Linked DNA regions of Oryzias latipes. The protein of the gene in region 2 binds, or shares a complex with, the protein of the main gene of each other region. Links are inferred from orthologs where the notes say so. Each region holds a gene or a part of one and is shown on either strand. Other genes may lie near its edges.

Region 1 (3,752 bases), on a different chromosome or scaffold from region 2:
AGATAAACTGCACTTCTAGAACCGTCTTGAGTCTCCTCTGCTCCGCCTCCTCTCGCACCAGCTGCTCCCGCCGCGCAGACTTCTTCACCACCTTCTGGATCTGACCGTCAAGCACACAAGCCACTTAAAGTTAGATTGGTAAAGGTCCAGATGGCTGCATCTGCCCGACTTTTTCAAGTGAAGCATAACAATAAACGGATGCCTCAGCAGTTTGATTAAAACCAAAACTTGGTCATTTTTCTATTAATTTTCCAGATGACATTTCAATATGTCAATGAAAATATCAAACAGTTACGACCTGTTCACCATATTGTCAGGCTAAATGACAGTCAATTCAATTACGTAGAAGGATTGCTTTTTAAATCGGATTTTAGGCAAAAACCTCCCTGTTACCAATAATCTAAGAGCTGCCCATAAATCCCATCAACTTCTTCAAGATAGACGAACCATAATTGGAGTTTGCCGTAAAAATGAACTTGAATCTTGCAGTTATACTGCTTTGTGCTCAACTAGTTTTGATAAATACAGTTACAATATTAATTTATAATCTCAAGCAAAAACTAAACCTTAAATGTTAATTGGTTGGTACCAACACATTTAAAAAAACAACAACAAATCTGCTATAAATTATTAACTATTTGTCCCCAAAACAACAATTTTGGACACGATTTTAATTTTAAATGAATGGCCTGATGCATCTTTTTCCACAAAGTATTGTATGGATCACATTAATGCGTATAAAGTTCAGACAGGGATCAACACTTGAAGGTGTCGGAATGCACTCGGCTGTCACTGAACTAAACTACTGAAAAGTTTGGCTCATTTCAATATTAACAATTTTTTAATGACCAAATTGAGTTTTGTATTCTGATCTTTGTCGTCCTTACATCTTGTCCCAGAGTAATAAAAGTCTTCTGCAACTCTCGGGCAAATTCCAAGTTGTTCATTACTTCCTGGTATTTAGAGAGGGCCTCCTAAAACAGATGAAGATTAAAGGTCAAGAATTAAATTTGTGCGAAATATTTAAAAGATTTTATTGAGGAAAATCTGTGACTTCAACAAACCCACCAGCTGGTCCTGGTTCAGACCTTCTCCTTTATTCTTCTTGACACTGTAATCATCTAATTTGCTCTAAAATAAAAGAAAAATAAATTAAATGAATATTCAGATATTACAAAGGCACTCTTATTAAACTATTGGACTTTTTGTCCGGTGAGGGTACCCACCAGCCATTTAAAGAAAAAGGCTCACCTTTTTTTTCTCCATGTTGCGGACTTTTTTGTCAATAATGCACAGCACCTGCTTCAAGACTTCTGACTGTCCACCCTGTGCAAAACTGCCCATTAAGCCTGGAGCGGATCCCACCTCTGGGCTGGCAGATTGCACTGGGGTATTTGCATTTGTTGCAGAGGGCATCTAGAAGTAAAAAAAAAAAAAAAAAAAAAAAGAAATCTCAATTATAAAGTCAGGTGTTATTTGTACATAAAGACACGCCAGAAAAGAAATAATAGACAATGCAAACCACAATCTGCACAAGAGCAATAAAAAGTGCAATAAGATTAAAGTATTTCTAAACACTACTTTGGATTCTGTTCTATTGGATTTTTTTTCTCACAAAAGTTCTGCACCAACTTTCCATTGCCTCCATTCAGGGAAAAAAAAAGTTCAACACATTTTAAGTATCAGTTTCACTTTTGCAGAATCTTCAGGGCACCTTTGCCTTTTTACCTCTGCGTCCTGAAACAATCCTCAACTATTATTTAGTCAATGTATCTATAAGATTTATTAATGTAAATGTTCAATGATCCTGGATTTTTTTTTTCTTGGCATAGCTCAAAGACGTGTCACGCTACTAAACTAGTTTAAAGAGATTTTCTACCAGACTAACAAATTTTTAAGATCGCATGATGTTGTTTTGTGACAGAGATTGGTGTGAACAAGTACATTAACAACAGATGCGTTAGCTGATTAAAACCGACTGCAACACTGCCAGGAAGAACAGATCTAACTGTATTTTCAAGAAAATCTGGATTTTCATCCAGCGTGACACAAGTTTTCTATTCATAAATTATTTCTGTTATCATTGGTAATCGGAAGGCCCCGAAACTACTGCACGACTACCTAACCGACAAACTTTAGCACCAACTGTGACTAAGCTCATACATTGGATTTCATTCGTACATTAATTTAAATTTGATGATTTTATGTTCTTGTTTGATTGTTTCTGTTATTAGTTCACCGGGGTGTGAACCGGTGTTTCTCGCAGTTCTGAGGTAGGGCCATGGCCGAACTAGTTAACACCCACCACTGACTTAGCATTTTCGCGCACTGCTAGCTGCAGGTCTGATAACGCGTGCGAACTTAGAGCAAAGCAGGAGCCCTTTTTCGCGGCCCCCCAAGCCTTTATTCACCCACCTTGCAGTTATATAAATCCACAGGGGAGCTTGATGGAGAACTGTATAAAAAGGCCAAGTTGTAATTTTTGTTGTGTTGCTTTATTTTCTCTTTAACTCTGGTGTGGGATCCGCCCCGCCGGCCTCACCGACAACTGAGACGGCTCGAAAGACGGAGAAATTCTTTATAAAGGCTATGGTCCTATTTTAGCTGTCTAAGTTCTGCCTAAACATTTTAACAAAAATAATTCTCTAAAAATTAGATATTTCAGCTATTTATGAAATAAACTTTCAAATGAATATACAAAAAAATTAACCCTAAATTATAAAAATAAAATAGGAAGCAAATACGTGTTTTAGGCTAACGTTTATTATCAGGCATAATTTTGAATAGCCTTTTAAAAAGACCCTCTCAACAACATACAAATAAAAAATGCAAATTTTCTTCATCTTCTATTTTCCCCCCCTGTCTTAATCAAACAAATTGAAATCTATCTCATTAACATCTCCAAAAGCCTTAACCAGAAAACTGTATGTTTGTTGTTATGTTGTTATGTATGAATGTTGTAGAAACCTGAATGTTTTTATGTAAAATGCATGTAATATGTATGCTCCCCTGGCATATCTGAAGATTATTTTGCAAAATTGTGTTTTGTATTGTACTTACGTTTTGTACAATAAAGTTAAAAAAAATACAAATAATACTTCAAAAGAACAGACACAAAATCAGCTTGTTTATATTACATGCAATTAAACTTACTAAAACAGACACTACTTTAAAGAACAATTTTTTTAAGGAAGAAACAGAGTAGGCCTACAAAATTTTATTTTGAAATGTGAGTCAGTATTAATCAAATAATTATGATTAATACTGTTGAGCAAAAAGACCATCCTGTGTGTGACAAAAAGGATTTGTTGTGAGGGTAAGGGAGACGTTTCAAGTTTGACTGTGAAACAAATCAGTTACACTTAATGCAATGTCGAAGTCAAAAAGTTTCACAAATTTGTGAGTGTGAGTTAGGTATGTGATGAAACTGAAGCTAGAAATCTGCAAACATAAATTAATTAAACATCTAGAAAGGACTTTAATCTTGGACAAACTGACCCGCTACCTTAGTGTAGTCATTGCATTGGTTTTATGCCTAATAAATTCTTAGTTTTTAAAACATAAAAGCTAACTTTACTGGTTAATGTTTAAAAAATAATCACATTCACCTTTCAGTCAGTGAAATATCCTTGCAATTGTCTTTTTTGCTTCTGGAAATGACATATTTTCCTTTAAAATATTTTTTAATTTTTACTGGTCCCCCAAATGGCCTCTGATCCCTCTGCCTCTCTACGTGTTCATAGTAATAGTCT
Region 2 (3,752 bases):
ATTTCTTTGGTCAGCTGGAATTCTCTGCAGAGAAAGAACAGAAGGGAGCGTCTGAGCTGCGGTGGTTATCCAGGCGGGGGGGAGCCCCACAGCCCTCCCCAGCGACCAATGAACCTCTAAAAAGAATCTCATGGTTCACAGCTGATGTCTGCCACGCCCACAAGAACCAACGGCAGCATGGGGGCAACAAGCGTTGGGTGGACAAAGCGAGCGTGAAATGGAAAGTTAAACAACTGCTGCAAAATGACTCATCTTTAGCTAATGTTTCTGTTGCTCTGGCGACAACTTACAAAACCCTAATCAACCAAATGTGGGGAAACTTCTGAAAAAAGGTGCAACACGAGCTTCCCACTCAAATGTAGTAGAGAATTTCAAACAAACCTTTATTAGCAAAGGTAGCAGAACAAAAGAATTTCATCGCTGACGTTCATCCAGAGTGATCAATGTCACACCAACCGAAACCTGTGACTGAGTGAGCGACGGTTCTGAAGTCACTTCGGATCCAGGAAACGGCTCCAGGTCCACAACACGAGGGGGAAACCCCCCCCCAGATGTTTCAGATTGTGTATTTGGACGCCATGGCAACCGTTGAATAGAAAATAAGAAAAATGTTTAAGTATTGCAGATGAGGCATTTATTCTTGTTTACGCGAGCATTAGCCATGATTTCCCAGGAAGGGGACGAGTGCAGTAACAATGCCCCCCCCCCCCCCCCCCCCCGTCTGATGTGGAATGAGGTTAGAGACCATCCTCCAGCATCATGCAACCAGCAGCCGCAGTCTGAATCAGCAAATTTCAACACCAAAGAGAGAAATCCTCCTCTGTAGAAAAAGCCTATAAATGTAATACATGTGTACCAGATAGCAGAAATGTGTCGTTATTTTCTCACTAAAAGAAAAGTGTCACCAGAATTTCTACATGTTATGGAGGATGGACCAGGATCTTTCAAATGGGATCCCAAAACCACAAACCAAAGAAGCCTGCTTTCATGGGTGGGGGCGTGGCCTTCCAACAAGCTCACTCCTGATTGGAGTCAGACTGCAGGCCTTAAGGGCCGTTATCCAGCAGGTTTTTCAGAAATCAGGTGTGTTTAGCCAATAAGGAGCTTCAATTTCAAGTTGATGGGAAGACATGTGGGACACAGGCCAACGAGGCCTGGAGTCTGACACTTAGAGTGGTTGCCATAGAAACACCGATCAATTCAGATCAACTCTACGTCTGCCTCCAACATGGCGCCGTCCGTTTCACAAAAAGACAACAAGAAGGCGACTGGAATTCCTTCAATGGGTTTGAGCCAGAAGTGAACCTTCCTGCCTCTCCATAATCAGAGGACGATCAGTTTGCATTTACACTGAAGTGAACCACACCAGAGTTCATCTGCAAGTGGATTAGATCATCTTGCCCTGATGAAACCGGATTCTCTAATTGAACAGTTCTTTGGGTTTAATACATCCCCACTTGAACCTGGAAGCGCTTTCACGATTCTACAGGGTTTGACCCCCCCGGCAGTGACGGGTTCTTCCGGGTTTCCAGGATATTCCTGATGTTTTGCACATGGCCATGATCCTGGATCAGGAGGGATCAGCCAATCAGAAGATGTTGATCTTCTATTCTGTCAAGTGGGTTTCACGGACAAACCAGGAGGGACGGTTCAGGGAGCAGACGTGCCGCCACAGACGCACATTCTTCTCTTCCCACTTCAGTTCAGCACCATAAAGCGGATCTGGGTTCAAATACACCAGAGGTTCTGCTGACAGAACCGGAAACTGTTGGCTTGGAGGACCTGGAAGGGAAAGGTGAAGCTCTGAGCCCAGAAGGCCACGAGCCACTTTGACATCTGTTCTCACGGCCAACAGCCATCTGCCATTTTTAACACGGAACGGCCCGGGAGCTCCCGCAGTCACGCGGGTCTGATCCGCGAGGGGCCTAACATAGACGGGACCAATCATTTAACGTGCTTCCGCAGAAGTGCGTGGAGATCTGCACGCGCGGCCCGCAGACAAAGACCACGCCGCGGGAACGGCGACGGAAACGGCCGACCCGCGCGCTCTCTTTCCGGGACCGCGCTGACACGCGCCCCCGAGGCCTTGACAAATTTAACCGGGATTCACGTGTCGTGCGCTGTCCTGGTCCATTCCGATCTAATCCGGGACAGCTGGACGGGCCCACCAACCCCAAAAGACGAATTCTGACGGGGGGGGGGGGGGGGGGGGGGGGCGCTCAGCAGCCCCAGCACGTGTCCCGGGCGGTGCTCGTCCACGCTCCGATCCCGACGCCGAGGCCACAAAATGACGCTTTTAACATCCAAAGACGCGTAGAAACGAAGCTAACTCTGTTTAGGGAAAAGGTGAATTTACCCCACGAAAAATAAGGAAAGAAAGCTGGAAAAACCAGAGGGGGGGGGGGGTGTGCTAACGAGGGCTGCGGCTAATTCCTGCAGCTCAGAGTAAAACCAAGCCGTCGTGGGTGATTTGTAACAGCAACAATTTCATACATATGTCGGAAAAAACCCATTCCGGACTTCTGATCGCGATTAAAAAGCAAGTATAAACGTTTAAATCGGATTTCAGCGCGTCCGTCTATAGACCGCGCGACAATGTCAAAGGAAGCTAACATCAGGATGTAGATGGAGCCCGGATGAGCCACCACGTTAATCCTATTTTCATTCTAGTTTCACTTTCTGCCTGGATTCAAACAGTAGGTTTGACATTAAAACTTACCAATGAGTCAATAGTTTTTGGAAAATGTATAAATATATTTTTTAATCTATGGACTTCGACGAGGCGCTGGCGCGGCTTCGCGGCGTGCTGTAGAGCCCGGGTACCGGTTTCACCTCCGCAGCCAAATCTGACGTCCCTCCGTATAAAGAAGCTTCAGCCAATGAAATGACGCATCCACGACCCGCTGACCAATGGGGTGAGAGAATGGCAAGCCTCCCGCGCATCCAGCCAATCGCGAAGCTCCCTCTATTCCAAGGGAGCCAACCACCGCGCGGCGGTGGCAGAGGGTGCGATGGTTATACCGACAGGCGTATCCCGGCAGATTCTCTACACAGATGTGCACCAGCGGCTGTCCACCGCGTGGAGGCGACAAATGCGTTCAGAATCAGTGATTTTAGGTCGCCGTGAATTTTTCATCCAGAATTATCCACCGTCATCAATCAAAGGGGTTCGAATGCGAGAGTGCTTTAGCTTTAAAATAAGCAGGTGGGTAAATGTAACGCCATTGAGACTGAAATGACTGCAGACAGTCAGAGCAGACTGGAAAAATGTCTGCTCCTGTAGTGCACTAAAGAAAAACGTGTAGTGCACTAAAGAAAAAGAAAAGTTCATCTTTTTAGTCATCTTTTAAAAAGACAAACTAAACACATAGAGCTACTGATCCCATGACTAAACTGCTGCAGATGTTTGAGCCTCAAACCACAATATGGCTGTCATGATGTCAGCACAGAGACATCAGCTTAAAAAAAAAAAAGAGCTGATATTAAATTACAGATGTCTTCCGTTGTTTCCTCTGTCAGAGTCAGGGGGAGTTTTTCCTGCTGGGGCACGCTGGGTTCACGCCGCTGTGCATTCTTGCTGCTGAGGGCTGGATGAGCAGGTACAGATGGTAACTGGGTGCTGCGTCTCTCCCTCTGCCGTCTCCCAGGGGACCACGAGCAGCTGTGAGCGGTCGCTGCCGGATGCCGTTTGCTCTGAGAGGACTGCATGTTCGGCACAGGTTTGCTGCAGCCCTAAAAGGTTACTTTTCCCA

Evidence for each region. Proteins that work in one complex are often made in the same cells at the same time.
Region 1: the proteins of g3bp1 (region 2) and caprin1 are in contact, whole or in part, in a crystal structure (PDB 8TH7), measured with the Homo sapiens proteins. The link is inferred for Oryzias latipes from reciprocal best matches to the Homo sapiens genes G3BP1 and CAPRIN1. Residues at the interface, in NP_005745.1 of Homo sapiens: Glu4, Lys5, Pro6, Ser7, Leu10, Val11, Glu14, Phe15, Arg17, Gln18, Thr21, Leu22, Met29, His31, Arg32, Phe33, Tyr34, Gly35, Lys36, Gln58, Lys59, His62, Leu114, Glu117, Asn122, Lys123, Phe124, Tyr125; in NP_005889.3 of Homo sapiens: Met363, Gln365, Met366, Gln367, Gly368, Pro369, Tyr370, Asn371, Phe372, Ile373, Gln374, Asp375, Ser376, Met377, Leu378.

The regions. Positions count from the first base shown.
Region 1 is NC_019864.2:14,863,869-14,867,620, reverse strand, and holds the start of caprin1 (caprin-1), read right to left. Parts: upstream 2,567-3,752; 5' UTR 2,416-2,566; intron 1,417-2,415; coding exon 1,252-1,416; intron 1,134-1,251; exon of another isoform or gene 1,132-1,133; coding exon 1,069-1,131; intron 975-1,068; coding exon 888-974; intron 101-887; coding exon 1-100. UniProt on the Homo sapiens protein: mRNA-binding protein that acts as a regulator of mRNAs transport, translation and/or stability, and which is involved in neurogenesis, synaptic plasticity in neurons and cell proliferation and migration in multiple cell types.
Region 2 is NC_019868.2:28,987,732-28,991,483, reverse strand, and holds the start of g3bp1 (ras GTPase-activating protein-binding protein 1), read right to left. Parts: upstream 2,847-3,752; 5' UTR 2,720-2,846; intron 25-2,719; 5' UTR 3-24; coding exon 1-2. UniProt on the Homo sapiens protein: Protein involved in various processes, such as stress granule formation and innate immunity. Plays an essential role in stress granule formation.